Linked DNA regions of Stegostoma tigrinum. The protein of the gene in region 1 interacts with the protein of each later gene in a biochemical or structural test. Links are inferred from orthologs where the notes say so. Each region holds a gene or a part of one and is shown on either strand. Other genes may lie near its edges.

What was found. The genes of interacting proteins can lie anywhere in the genome.
Region 2: the proteins of proto-oncogene tyrosine-protein kinase Src-like (region 1) and stat3 form a complex in vitro, tested with the Homo sapiens proteins (3 studies listed by BioGRID). The link is inferred for Stegostoma tigrinum from reciprocal best matches to the Homo sapiens genes SRC and STAT3.

Annotation. Positions count from the first base shown.
Region 1 is NC_081372.1:20,567,343-20,574,809, reverse strand, and holds the start of proto-oncogene tyrosine-protein kinase Src-like, read left to right. Parts: upstream 1-4,448; 5' UTR 4,449-4,832; intron 4,833-7,467. UniProt on the Homo sapiens protein: Non-receptor protein tyrosine kinase which is activated following engagement of many different classes of cellular receptors including immune response receptors, integrins and other adhesion receptors, receptor protein tyrosine kinases, G protein-coupled receptors as well as cytokine receptors.
Region 2 is NC_081384.1:14,624,645-14,632,604, forward strand, and holds the start of stat3 (signal transducer and activator of transcription 3), read right to left. Parts: upstream 3,024-7,960; 5' UTR 2,768-3,023; intron 846-2,767; 5' UTR 780-845; intron 1-779. UniProt on the Homo sapiens protein: Signal transducer and transcription activator that mediates cellular responses to interleukins, KITLG/SCF, LEP and other growth factors. Once activated, recruits coactivators, such as NCOA1 or MED1, to the promoter region of the target gene.

The DNA.
Region 1 (7,467 bases):
ACAAAAGATGGAGGGGAAAGAGAGCTTATCACATATCATCATCCAGTCTCTGACAATATTTTTATTTTCAATGCATTCAATTTCATGGAATCATTAATTCTAGACTTTGTTTAAACATTATCTAATTGCTTCATTATATTATCATGAAGCATCATGTACAGGTAATTGGAGAATGCATGGATTAGATGAGAACTTGTGATAAATTGGCTTAAAAGTTTTAAAAAAGTATGGATTTTCAGAGACATTTGGTGGATTTAGTTTTTAAGGTAAGGGGGGAAAGAATTAAAACAGACCTAAGGCACCACTTTTTCACGCAGAGGGTGATGCGTGAATGAAATGAGCTGCCAGAGGAAGTGATGGGGGTGAGTGCGATTACAACGATTAAAAGGTATCTGAATGATGACACGAATGGGAAGAGTTTAGACGGATATGGGCCAAATGCTGGGAAATGGGACTAGATTCATTTAGGATATATGGTTATCACAGACAAGTTGGACTGTGAAGGATCTGTCTCCATGCTGTACAACTCTATGACTCTTGTACACTATTCAATATTTTCATGAGTAGAATATTTTGTTTCCTGCTCAGTTGTATTGCTCAGCAAACATTCATTACTTGTCAATGCCTGTTGAGTCAGTTGTTACAAATGATTTATTCCAAACACAACCTAAGAATTCAAAATGAAAAATTGTTAGTATTAATGAGAAGGAAATTTTTGCAATGTGTGACTATTGTCATAATGCATTTGCCCTTTTGGGTCCATGGCAAGTAGTACCCTGAACGAAAGGTCAAAGAGCATCAACCACAGCTCAACAACAGCCCAACCTCCACTTCAGAGTCCGGAGGTTCAAGTCTCATTCCATTGACCAGAATACAATCTATCCTATGAGGAGAGTTCAATGCAATACTGAGAGTGTTGAGATAACACAATGTGAAGCTAAAGGAACACCCGCAGGCCAGGCAAGAAAGTTGACAGTTCGGGTTGCGACCCTTCTTCAAAAAAAGAATGATTTTCTGAAGAAGGGTCCTGATACAAAACGTCAGCTTTCCTGTTCCTCTGGCGTAAATTTGGAATCATAAAATCCCTGTGCTGTGGGAACAAGCCACTTGGCCCAACAGGTCTACACTGCCCCTCTGAAAAGCATCCTACCCAGAACTAGTCCCCTAACCATGTATTTCCCATCTCGAACACTCCTAGCCGAAACATCCTTGGGCAGTATAGCATAGCCAATCCACCTATCATACATAATAATAAAATGTGAGGCTGGATGAACACAGCAGGCCAAGCAGCATCTCAGGAGCACAAAAGCTGACGTTTCGGGCCTAGACCCTTCATCAGAGAGGGGGATGGGGGGAGGGAACTGGAATAAATAGGGAGAGAGGGGGAGGCGGACCGAAGATGGAGAGTAAAGAAGATAGGTGGAGAGGGTGTAGGTGGGGAGGTAGGGAGGGGATAGGTCAGTCCAGGGAAGACGGACAGGTCAAGGAGGTGGGATGAGGTTAGTAGGTAGCTGGGGGTGCGGCTTGGGGTGGGAGGAAGGGATGGGTGAGAGGAAGAACCGGTTAGGGAGGCAGAGACAGGTTGGACTGGTTTTGGGATGCAGTGGGTGGGGGGGAAGAGCTGGGCTGGTTGTGTGGTGCAGTGGGGGGAGGGGATGAACTGGGCTGGTACACCTCCTCCCACCCACCCACCTGCAAATATTCCATCCCCTATTCCCAATTCCTCCGCCTCCGCCGCATCTGCTCCCACGATAAGACATTCCACTCCCGCATATCATCCCAGATGTCCAAGTTCTTTAAGGACCGCAACTTTCCCCCCACGGTGATTGAGAACGCCCTTGACCGCGTCTCCCGCATTTCCCGCGACACATCCCTCACACCCCGCCCCCGCCACAACCGCCCCAAGAGGATCCCCCTCGTTCTCACACACCACCCTACCAACCTCCGGATACAACGCATTATCCTCCGACACTTCCGCCATTTACAATCCGACCCCACCACCCAAGACATTTTTCCATCCCCTCCCCTGTCTGCTTTCCGGAGAGACCACTCTCTCCGTGACTCCCTTGTTCGCTCCACACTGCCCTCCAACCCCACCACACCCGGCACCTTCCCCTGCAACCGCAGGAAATGCTACACTTGTCCCCACACCTCCTCCCTCACCCCCATCCCAGGCCCCAAGATGACATTCCACATTAAGCAGAGGTTCACCTGCACATCTGCCAATGTGGTATACTGCATCCACTGTACCCGGTGCGGCTTTCTCTACATTGGGGAAACCAAGCGGAGGCTTGGAGACCGCTTTGCAGAACACCTCCGCTCAGTTCGCAACAAACAACTGCACCTCCCAGTCGCAAACCATTTCCACTCCCCCTCCCATTCTCTTGATGACATGTCCATCATGGGCCTCCTGCACTGCCACAATGATGCCACCCGAAGGTTGCAGGAACAGCAACTCATATTCTGCCTGGGAACCCTGCAGCCATATGGTATCAATGTGGACTTCACCAGTTTCATAATCTCCCCTTCCCCCACTGCATCCCCAAACCAGCCCAGTTCATCCCCTCCCCCCACTGCACCACACAACCAGCCCAGCTCTTCCCCCCCACCCACTGCATCCCAAAACCAGTCCAACCTGTCTCTGCCTCCCTAACCGGTTCTTCCTCTCACCCATCCCTTCCTCCCACCCCAAGCCGCACCCCCAGCTACCTACTAACCTCATCCCACCTCCTTGACCTGTCCGTCTTCCCTGGACTGACCTATCCCCTCCCTACCTCCCCACCTACACCCTCTCCACCTATCTTCTTTACTCTCCATCTTCGGTCCGCCTCCCCCTCTCTCCCTATTTATTCCAGTTCCCTCCCCCCATCCCCCTCTCTGATGAAGGGTCTAGGCCCGAAACGTCAGCTTTTGTGCTCCTGAGATGCTGCTTGGCCTGCTGTGTTCATCCAGCCTCACATTTTATTATCTTGGAATCTCCAGCATCTGCAGTTCCCATTATCTCTCCCCACCTATCATACACATCCTTCAGCTGTGGGAGGAAACCCACGTAGACGCGGACAGTCGCCCGAGGCTGGAATCGATCCTCGCGTCCCTGGCGTTGTGAGGCAACAGTACCAACCACCGAGCCACCGTCCATTTAGAAATTCACATATTCGTTAAACAGCCCTTTTCTGCTTTTGGTGGGTTAGTGTGCAATAGTGTCTGCATAATCTAATATAAATATTAGCTAGAAAGTTTTAAGTCGACAAAACCTAGTAGCAGAATTCTTCAGAAGGATCCTGACCCGGCTTTCCTGCTCCTCTGCTGCTGCCTGGTCTGCCGTGTTCCTCCAGCTGCATACTGTGTTATCTGTGACTCCAGCATCGGCTGTTCTTACTGTCTCTGACTGTGAGAGTGTTGCCCTGCCAAAAGTGCTGAGATGTTAAAAGTTGGCTGGTCTTGCCCTTTCAGATGGATGTAAACGATCTGAGGGGGCTACTTTGAGGTGTAGGATTTCTCTCCACTGTCCGTCTTGTCATCAAAACAGACTAATTGTCCTCCAACGAATTGGTGCTTGTGGGATCTTACTATGCGTAGTTTGGTTGTTGGATCTCTCTCCTTACATTATTAACCACAGTTCCAATGTGCTCTTTTACCTGTAAAGCGTTTTTAGGTCATGAAAGGTGTGATATAATTGCAAGCTTTTTGTTCTTTTTCTGATTGTTAGCAATGATCGCAATTCCCGTGGCGTCGACGTGATTATCGACACAGCATTAAGGGCTCGGGATTTTGGCTCAAATATTAAAGGCTTTAGATACTGGATAGAAAAACAGAAAGTGCTGGAAAAGCTCAGCAGGTCTGACAGCACCTGTGGAGAGAAATCAGAGTTCACGTTTCGGCTGTTCAGTGAAGGTCACTGGACCCGAAACGTTAACTCTGCTTTCTCCCAACAGATGCTGCCAGACCTGCTGAGCTTTTCCAGCACTTTCTGTTCTATCTTCTGGCTTCCAGCATCCGCAGTTCTTTCGGTTTTTCGATGCTGAATGAAACATTATCCTAGTTTTTAGTATTTCAGTGATCGCGATGAGAAAAGACAAAACGATGGTCAAACAGGAATAAAGGGTGGGAGAGCAACAATGGTAAAACGGTGAAATGAAACTGAAAGGGAGAAAGTTGTAAGTCGTGTGCATAAAAATGAGACATGAGTAAAGGGTAACCAAAGCACTAGGAGAATATGACCAAAAAGTGGATGCAGAAAGGATAAATCAGACCAAGACACAAAGAGAACAGGCGCTATATTGTCTATCGCTTTCCCAATGTCCAGAATTGTACTGGATTTCATCTCCTACAGCCACGAGTGGAGCTGTTTGCTTTAATTCCGTGGATCGAAAAAAAAAGGTGGCTTCTGCTGTGAAGCGTTTCCGGAGCAACACTCCCCAATTGCAGCACCAACAACTTCCCACCCCCAGCCACCCTCCTCCACCCCAAACACACCCACCCAGAGCAAACCCCCCCGCAAATCGGATTGAACAGATCCGCGAGCCGGGCACCAGAGGAGTTTTCCGTGACGTGCCCATTCTCCCCGGTTCACTCCCAGCCCTTGCCTGGGGGAACCAAGCGAGACATCAACCATTTCCAAGTGCGGATTGTAGGGGAATCTGCTGCTTCTCGGCTGTCACCGGCTTGGGCAGGAGGTCTGTTCGCTCTCACCGTTCCTCCTCCCTCCTCACCTTCCAGGCTGGCGCTGGGTTCGTGAAGCCACATCTAACCTTTCGGTGTTTTCAATGAGCGTCTCAGAGGAGAGGAGGGGAGACACGTGTACGGAGCAGCTGTAGGTGCAGAGGCGGAAGGTAAGTGACCCATTGTGCAGTCGGTGAATGAAACTCCACCAGATCCCACCGTGGCCTGGGGGGGGCGGGTTAGCTCGGCTGGACAGGAAACAGGAGCCGGGCACAGCTCGGTCTTTAATAAATCGTAAGGAATTCCACCCCCACCCCCTTTCTCTACTTGATTTCTCTTTCTAAGTCGAGACAAACAAACCCCCTGTCCACCCCCTCCCCTTTTTATTTTGATTTACTAGCAAGCGGAAGTCTCTGACCCTCTCTCTTATGCCTGTGCTGTAAAGTTTGGTTCGCCCCTTGCATATTAACTGTCCTTTCACTGCGTCGGAATGTCGTTCGACCGAAAACGAAAGAGGCCAGGCCAACATCTCTTACTGTGCAAGTTCCCCTTGCCCCTGGCTGAGTGAAACCCCAGTTTTTCTCACGTCAAATAGTCAGCCGTTTACAATCAATAGCCAGTTCATGAAAGGTGACTGGAAAGCAGATGCTGCACAGCCAGATATTGGGAGGAAACCCTTTCAATACCCACAACTGCAAACTTTCAAATCTTCCTTAATATTCTTGTATCTTTTTAGTTAATATTGATTTGGAGGTTGTTTATTTTTCCAATAACTGAAGATGTCCTAATTGCAATATTGACTTAATATGGTATTTAGCATTGCTAACAGTAGCATTACGAGACATGCAGTGTAGTTTGCCGGAGCGGGCAAATTATTGTCCTGATCCGTATGAACATGATGCGCGGTTTCGTGCTGGAAATGTACATTTTCACCGTCTAAAGCAGCTCTCCGACGTCCACGGCCGGGCACTCCCAGTATCCCAGCGCTACGGGATATGCCCAATGTGTACAGCAACAAAGATAAACCAATCCACCTCAGTGATTCATTCTTCATAACTGCATCAAAAAGAAATTGTGTAAATAGTATGAAAACACCGACTAAATTGAAGGGTTGAAGTCCGTCATCCGGTGAAGCCAGACAGGAATGTGCTGGCTTTATTGAAGTGGTATCCCTGGACGATGTTTGACACCTTGTTAGGCCGATCCCATTTACTCAGTGCAGCTGGAGCTGTAGTTCTCAGCTTGGGGTTCCTGCAGTGCCAGTTTATCATTTTCTTGAAGAAAAGAGCATTTGTAACCAATGTATATTTTATTATACAATGTTATTATTGGTGTGTTTATGTATGTTGCATAACAAGACAGAACCTTTCAGGTTTTTGTCCTGGTGTTTCCTTTCTTTGGGTAGTTGATTTGGTTTTGTAAAATGTCAAGCGAAAAATCAGTCTCTCCTTTTATTGACACACCTTGTATGCACATTCCTGATGAACTGAAGACCAAAATGCACACGGTGTTCTTTGATTGAGCATTAGTAATCAGTGAAAAGAAAAGCTTGCATTTGTGTAGCAGTTTTGAGGAGCACTGGACATTGCAAAATATGTTACTGCCAGTAAGTTACTTTCAAAATTAGTGACTGTAGTAATGCAACAATCAATACAGAACAGCAAACTCTCACAAACAGTAACATGAAAGTGACCAAATATGTTTTTGTGATGTTGACTGGGGGTAAATATCAATCAAAACATCAAGGGTATTCCCCTAAAAAAAAACTGAAAGAACTGAGAATGCTGGAAATCAGAAACAAAAAGAGAAATTGCTGGAAAAACTCAGCAGGTCTAGCAGTGTCTGTGGAGATTGATTGATCTATAGTTGTCACGTACAGATATACAGTGAAAAATGTTTTTCTGCAAGCTATACAGGCAGATCGTATCACACAAAGTGTATGAGGGTAGCAGAACAGAGTGCAGAACACAGTGTTGCAGCTCAGAGAAGGTGTGAAGAGAGAGATTAGAATTAATGTTTGAAAGGTCCATTCAGAATTCTGATAACAGCAGGGAAGAAGCTGTCCTTGAACTTATTTGTACAAGTATTTAAACTTTTATATCTTTTGCCTGACGTAAGAGGGTAGAAGGGAGTATGTCCGAGGTGGCAGGGGTCTTTGATTATGTTGGTTGCTTTCCTGAGGCAGCCGGAAGTGTAGATGGAGTCTTTGGAGAGAAAACTGGTTTGTGTGATGGACTGGGTTGTGTTCATGACGCTGTAGTTTCTTGTGTTCTTGGGAAGAGCAATTGCCGTACCATTCTCTGGTGTACCCAAACAGGATGCTTTCTGTGGTGATCTATAAACATTGATAAGAGTCCCTGTGGATGTGCTGAATTTCCTTAGCCTCCTGAGAAATTGGAGATATTGTTGTGTTTTCTTGTGTCATGTCGATGTGGGTGAACCAGGATAGGTGGTTTGTGACCATCACTCCCAGGAGCTTGACACTCTCGAAAAAGCTTTAGAGTTGATGTTTCAGGTCCAGTGACCCTTCTTTAGAATGAAATAACTCTTCTTCAAAATGGTGCCATGGGACCTTTAACATCCTCATGAGCAGGGAGATGGGATCTTGGTTTAAGATACATTTGAAAGACTTGGTTCTTTTATTTTTGAACTGCCGTGCTAGATGCTGAATGATTTTGGCTGTCATTTTGTTTATGGGCGTCTTCCATGAACTACTGGAATCAAAAACACTTCTAAAATGTATTTTTATTAAACAAGATCTTTTTGGTCTGCCTCAACTTCTTTAATTTCATGGGTTTCATAATG
Region 2 (7,960 bases), on another chromosome or scaffold:
TGACAGCTGCTAAAACTCTCTCAATGCAAACAAATTCTCATTTGCACTCCAGGAACTCTCTCACACTGATTTGTTTTTAAATTCACAGTTCCAGCTTTCCACTTGTTTCAAAATCCAAGTTCTAAAATAATTTGAATTTACATATGAAAAAGACTTCCATCACGATATTTTGAAACAAACAAGCCTTCATATGCACAACTTTTTATGTATTTTGAAACAGTTGCAGCTTTTAAACTATGCTCAGGTGATGTATCTCACTACAATTGATGTTACGAGTAAGAAAATAAACATTTGACCAAGAAAATTATTTTTCCCCTTTCTAAAGAACTGGAAAATACAATGATGTTCCTCTTCACAAGGTACTGTAACAAGTTTGGTCTTTCAAATCACTATCAATGCATAACCTCTAAAATGCAGTATCCTTCCTCATTCTTGTAAAGCAATTAAAATATTACATCTTCTGCTTCTGGTTTCAAAATCAGTTTACTTAAAATTCAGCTTTAAAATCTGGGAAAACTGAAGTTACATTCAGCCAGGATTGCCCACATAACAGTCTTAAAATTCACAATTATGAACTGTACTTCCTCCTTTCAAACAAAACTATTTTCCAAATTCTTAAATTTACAATATAAAAAGTACACAATTCATGATGTTTTTAGTAATAATCTTAATGCATCTTAAAAGAGACATAACTTTGAAGCCATTTGTAATATTTAGCGCTAGGAACTGAGAAAAACATCCATGATGGGATGGTACAGTAATAAAGTACATTAGTTTACCTGATTGTTTCAGCTGACATGCAGAATTTTTCTATTTTTTCGATGCAGCTTTACCACAGTTTAACACTGAAAGGCAGAAAGAAATAACTCAGATATATAACGAACTGATAGTGAACAACGTAAGTGGATAAATTTTAAAAACATAATGAATAAAGAATAGTCACAAAATCACTCGGCAGAAAAGTGATCAAAGGGAGAGAAAACAGAAAAGGAGTCAATTACTGGAGTAAGACAACATAAATTCAAAGTTAAAAGGCAGGGAAAATGTGTTCCTGATTTTTTTCCCCCAAAAATGTATGTTGTGCGCAGAAAGAAATGATGACTCAAGAAAAACAAAATATGCATGACATTTTCATAAATAATTGTTGATACGATTTGAAGCATTATGTTATCTTTAAAAGGTATTGTTTAGTCCAACTGAATACAGCACCAGATTTAACTTGATCTGGGCCAATATTTTCTCCATTCTCAAAAACAAAATGAATTTTCACTTAATATTCCAGGAATTAAAAATTCCTGATGCCAAACACAGCATTGACTTTGGAACAATCCATTTACAGGGTTATGAGAGGCTAACATGTAGAGTTGTCTGGCACTTGTTGTATCACTAATAGAAACTAAAACATCAGTAAGTGAGTAATATTGTGATTTTGCTGAGAACTGAAACAAACCCTAGCAGCATTGTCTTGTGTCAAAATGATCAAACCTGAAATAATGTTCAATCGTTTATTATAACCACAAGTGGCAGAGTTGGTTCCACATTGCAATACAGAACAGGTATTGAAATACCCAAAATTAAAATAGCTACTGACTGCATCATGGGGAAGACATAGGGTTACCAGAGTTCTCCACCATTTTAGTATTGTTTTGAATATACATAATGATTTGGGAAAATCTAAGTTCAACAAATTAAATGTAAAAACATTGCAGTTCAACCAATAAACAGCATGCATCATGTCTCCCCAGTTAAGAACTGTTTCATCACACTGTCAGCAAACAGCCCACCCTTGTCATAAGGCATCTCCAGATTTACTTGTTTATTTCCTTTATGTAAAACTTTTCAATGATAAACCACATCGATTGTGATTAAATCTGGTTAACGTTTCATTCAAATTAGATGTAGCTAATCAACAACATGGAAATGCAAAAAAAACTCCACATGCCGAATCAAAATTGCATAAGTAAATAGAATGGTCTACTGTCAAGTTTGGATTTAAAACATGGCACAACGCAGTTTCCATAAATAATCCTTTGTTAAAGGGTTACAAGCCAACATACAATATTTGCAAAGATTAATTGCTGCTACATTGTACTTATTGCGTGCAAATGTAAAGTAAATGCACTATTCTGTGACAAAATGCTAGTTGAGCACTAAACCTTCAACAGAAACTGATAAATACATTAATCATGCGTCCAGAACTCTTCCCTTTAACACAGCCATCCCACTTCCTGTTAGCGGCCGCTGAAGAACAACAGCTCAGTTAATAAGTGCTATCTCCTACATTTTGTGCCTTTTTGGGGGGGGGGGGGGGGGGGAAGCGCGGTGGAGAAAGACGAGTCAGGCGTTAACAATCCATTTCCCTCGGAACAGACTGCTCTTCTAAAAGACTTAATACAGAAGCCCAAAAGCCTTGTATGCTTTCAATACATGATCCATTTGGAAATCAGTAACTGCCACATCCCTGTGTCACACTGATTGTGGATAAGATTCAGCAGCCTGGGAGACAAAAATCCACAGGATTTCATCTGTCACTGTGCCTTTTGTCTCTTGGTGTGAGGCTGGGAAAACACAGCACGTCAAACAGCATCAGACAAGCAGGAAAGTCAACATTTCGGGCCCAAACCCCCTCTTGTCAAAATGCTTCGTTTTATTTCCACCTGTTAAATTACTTGGTAACTCAAGACTTGCTGCAAGTTTCAGCTTGGCATTTTGTTGACGGGGTGTCTAGGCCTGCTACAAATAAAAAGGAATACAAGACATACTGTACCTGCGGCAATAAAAGTTTCCAGACTGACAACCCCAACTTTCTGACACCACGACCTACGGCTGGGACATTCTTAATTCCGTCAACGCCACGAACACGGCGATCTTTGATCCACTTTTTACTTCAAATACAATGTCAAAAAAAACCTGTCGATTCGATGATTTTTCTTGACGCACTTCGGCCGAAAAGATTTTTTTTAAAAAGTGATCCCCTCCCCCTCCTTCAGGAGCTCTACAACCGACGGTGCTGACCACGAATGACAGCCTGCTCGACGAATCAACGGACGGCCTGTTTCCTGGGACATCCCGCCTCCCGCTTGGTTTCGACCAATCGGAGCGAGGAAGGGGGCGGCAAGTTCTGTTGAGGTGTACCACGCCCCCCGCACGGCAGTGCCGCCCGCTGCCTCCCTCCCTCCGGATTCACGCACGCGCCTGTAGAATCGCGTGGCACCGGAAGCGCTGATCGGTGGGAGGATAGAGCGCTCCGTGGAACAGCCGGCGCTGCGAAGTCATCTGAGTTCCTGGCAGCGATGACGTCTTCACATTTGCGAGCCAGTGCCAGAGCCCAAATTGATGGGAGTTTTGCTGTCAATCAAATGACTAAACCTTTTATTTCCCCTCCACGCTTAAAAAAAGGAAAGCAGGCAATTGCTTGTGGTTTAATGCAATATTTTGCATATTTCTCATCACTTTGAAAAACTACATTATGATTGCTGAAATTATAATGGGCTTTTGAAACTAAAACTAACAATATTGTCTCAATTTCCTTTGCATGAATAGAATTATTACACTGCTAAGTTAGGACCCAGGATGGGAAATAAAAAAAACAAATTGCTCGTAAATCTCAGCAGGTCTGGCAACATCTGTGGAGAGAAATTAGTTAACATGCGGGTTCGGTGGTCCTTGCTCAGGATGTGAAAATTGCTGATGATCCCTTATAAGCAAAGAAAGGTTTTTTTGTGATACGCAGCAGTGAGGATAAAATCTGCAAACAGGTCTATACCTGTCTTTGTACCCATGCATTTCCATTAAAGCAAAGGAAAATCAGAAATTATCAGAGAAATGTGCACGAAATGCTTAGGAGGCTAGCCAACATTTGTTGGCAAGTAGAAATTCGCGTTTGTCATCAATGACCTTTCGTGAAGTTGAAACTTTTTGCATCACCCCGCCCCCACTATTTCATTCTCATATCGGAACGGCGAAGATACCTACCATTCGTAATTATTGCAATTTCGTGATTTGCTCAATCCAAGCTGAATTTAGAAGTTCATCCTTCTCTTAAACACCTTATCATCCAGTGCTCAAAAATAATAAATACGTCTATTTTTGCAATGCTAGATGGACATTTTACCGGGACTGTAGGTTAGTACGTTCGGATACAAAATAACAGGTTATTGTTGTGGGGGAGATTTGTTGTTATGTGTTATTTAAATCTCCTGCAGCAGCCAATGAGGCAATATTTGCATTAAGTTCTTAATATCGTCTGTTCCAGTAAATTAACCCACTCAAAATTCCCCGCAGGCAGGAATATTTCATCACAAATGTAGCTTATAGTACAATAAAAACAGGATATATTGTCAGAACACAGCAGGACTGTCAACAATGAAAGAGATTAGATCAATCAACAGACCTCTGTCAGACTTCTCCTGACAATTGCCATGTTTTCCAAACTTCCAGAATTTGAATAGAAAATTAAAATCAACTCTTGAGATTATGAGGCCAGACAGCATCAGTGGAGAAGGAAAGTTGACGTTTCGGGTCAGGGCCCTTCTTCAGAAACAGAGAGGGGGAAGGGAGCTAGGAAATAAATTGAGTGGAGAGGTGAGGCTGGGGAAGGTAGGTGGGATGGTGATAGGCACCCTCAAAAAAACTAAAGACAGAATCTCCCTTGTCCTCACATATCACCCCACCAACCTCCAAAGTATCATTCTCCATCATTTCCACCACCTACAATCTAACCCCACAACCCAAGATATGTGTCCCTTCCCACCTTATCTACCTTTCGTATGGACCACTCTCTCAGTGACTCTCTCATCCAATCTACACTTCCCACTAGCCCCACCACCCACTGCACTTTTCCCTTCAACCGCAGCAAGTACTATATCTGTCCCCATATCTCCCCCTTCACCTCCATTCAAGGCCCAAAACAAACCTTTCATATCAGACAGTGGTTCACCTGCACACCCTTCAACTTGGTCTACTGTATGCGCTGCTCCCGATTGGGCTCCTGTACATCAGTGAGACCAAGCATAGGCTCAGAGACCATCTCGTAGAGCATCCGCGTTTTGTACGTGACAAACGTCAATACCTTACGGTTGGCAACCATTTTAACTCACCCTCCCACTTCCTTGGGGACATGTCAATCCTGGGTCTCTTCCAGCGTCACAATGACACCACCCGCAAACTGGAAGAGCAACACCTCATATTCTGCCTCAGGAGCCTACAGCCCAATGGTCTAAACATGGAATTCACCATTTTTAAAATCTCCCCACACCCGGCCTCATTCAAAGTCCAACTCTCCATCTTATCCCCTTGACCTGACATAACCTGTCCATCTTCTCTTCCACCTATCCATCTCTCCTACCTCACTGACCAATCCCCACCACTCCCTACTCAACTATCACTATCCTATCTACTTTCCCCAGCCCCACCCCTCCTATTTATTTCCCAGCTCCCTCCCCCCTCCTCATTTCTGCAGAAGGGTCCCAACCGGAAATGTCAACTTTCCTGCTCCTCTGATGCTGCCTGGCCTGCTGTGTTCCTCCAGCTCCACACTGTTGTCTCTGACTCCATCTGCAGTTCTTGCTATCTCTGATATTATGATTTGTTTCCTTTAGCCTTCTTTGGCTCATTGTCATATTTTCTTTTGGCAATTCTAATGTTTAATCTTGGGACCTTTTTAGTATTCTTTAGGTGCAGCATGGATGCAATTTGTTTTTAGTGCTGTGTTTGCTAGTAAATACAGCTGGCTATGATCCTTGAGTTTCCTGGAATTCCAGATCCAGTTGCATCATTAGAGTACCCACTGGGGCTAATGCTTCTCTGGAAGAATTTAGTGGGTGCATGCATACAGACATTTCTGCCTCAGTGTATAATCAGTAGTTACGTTTTAGGTTAGTCACAGGAGACCTTAACAATATGATATAAAATGGTTCAGAGTTTAGAATGAACAATCACAATTACGAAACTTAACTGTTTAGCTGTAGTGAACTCGTCTGATATTGTCTGCCTACTGGCAGTTAGCAGGCTTCTGAATACATTTTTAAACACTTACTGGTACAGTTATTATAGAAGCATTTTTTTCATCTCTCCTTTACTGACAGAACTGACTGATACTGACTGGAATATGGTCACAAAGCACCACACTTATGATTCTTTATGCCTATGTTGCATAGCTCATGTTGCAGTCTGGTACGACAGATTGGCTTGCTAGGTAATTTCAGTGAGTAGCTCAGACACAAGCACATTATTGTGGGTCTGGTACCATCACAGGCCAGACCATATAAGTGGAGACAGACAAACCATAAAAGTTTTTCAATCAACCTCCATGGACATGTTATAACTCACCTCCAGAACAGGTAGAACTAGAACTAAGATCTTCTGGTCCAGAGATATGGGCACTACCACAGGTCATAAGACCCTCAGATGGGGTTTTTATGAAAATTTATGATAGCTTCATAAATGACAGCAACTGAGACAAACTTCCAATTTTAGATTTTTTAACCATTTGAATTTTAATGTCAGCGCATGTTGTGTGTAAAATTTAAACCCACATTCCCAGATCAACTCGGGCCTCTGAATTATTACCTAAGTTCTGTGAAACTCAAACTTACATCATGAAAACATGTAAGTAGAGATACATATAACTGTTACAATCTTACCAAAGGGAAAATTACATCTGGTTTTGGCACTGATACTTCCCATTAAAAACAGGCTCGGTTGCAAATGTTTAGAAATAGACACTGATGAAGGTTTTGATCATTTATAGACCTTTAAGGACAAGAATTATAAAAGAAAAAGTATCTGTTAAATGCATACGAGGCATTCATAGCATTTGTTTTTATAAACTCAGTTGATTTACAGTGTACAAAATCCAGCCATTATTGTATTCCATTAATCAAGACTATCTCCTCTAATCAAAATGTTAAACAGGTGCGATTGGTATCAACTGAAAGAAGTTTAAAGGAGAAAATGCTAGTTTCCTTAAAATTTCATTGGCATCCATTTTCTCATTGATTAAAAATGCAAGTAAAGAATGAATACACTAAAAATTTGAAGGTGATCAGAGGTAAATGTAACATATGTGAAAAGAATAGGAGGACATCATCATGACCCACAGTGAATCTCATTTTAGCAATATACATTTCAAAAATTTAATATTAGACTCTGATGCAGTGGATTCAAAATAAAACATTTTGCGCTTCATAGATGTGGTGTCTAAATTTAGCCAAGTCTATATTAACATATGGTGAAAAGAAAAGAGTAATACTGGGCAAGGAAATGGAAAAATAGAAACAGTCCAGACTAGGGAAACTGACTAATTTGAGCTGACCATTTGTGAGTGGTGAATTTATGGATATGTGTGAAAACATGAACATTGTGACCATGAACACTGCAACAATAAGTCCCTTTACAAAACAAAGTTGCAGAAAAGCTCAGCAGGTCTGGCAGCATCTGTGAAGGAGAAAACAGAGTTAACGTTTCAGGTTCGTGACCCTTCCTCAGAATGGATCGTGGCCGGGAAAACGTCAGTTTATATGCAGAAAATAGGGAGGTGGGTGGGGTAGGGAGTAAACGATAGAGTAGAGCCCAAAGAGAGATAAATACAGTTGGACAGACAAAGGAGTTGCTAAGTTCATGCTGGGAGGGTGAGTAGTCATTAATGGGGACTGTTAGTGACTAACAACAGGGGGTGTGTAGTGGCAGGCTATGTGGTAACGGAAGAACTGAGAGAATGGGATGGAGTCTTTACAGGAAGTGGGGTGTGAGGATGTATAGTCCAGGTAGCTGTGGGAGTCAGCAAGTTTCCATCGCATATGCTTAGATGAGGCCACCTTCAACCAGGGAGCCTCCGAAATGTCCAAATTCTTCTTCAACCGAGGATTCCCCAGCTCCGTTGTCGACAGGGCCCTCAAACGGGTCCGACCCATCTCCCGCACTTATGCCCTCACCCCTTCTCTTCCCTCCTGCAACAGCG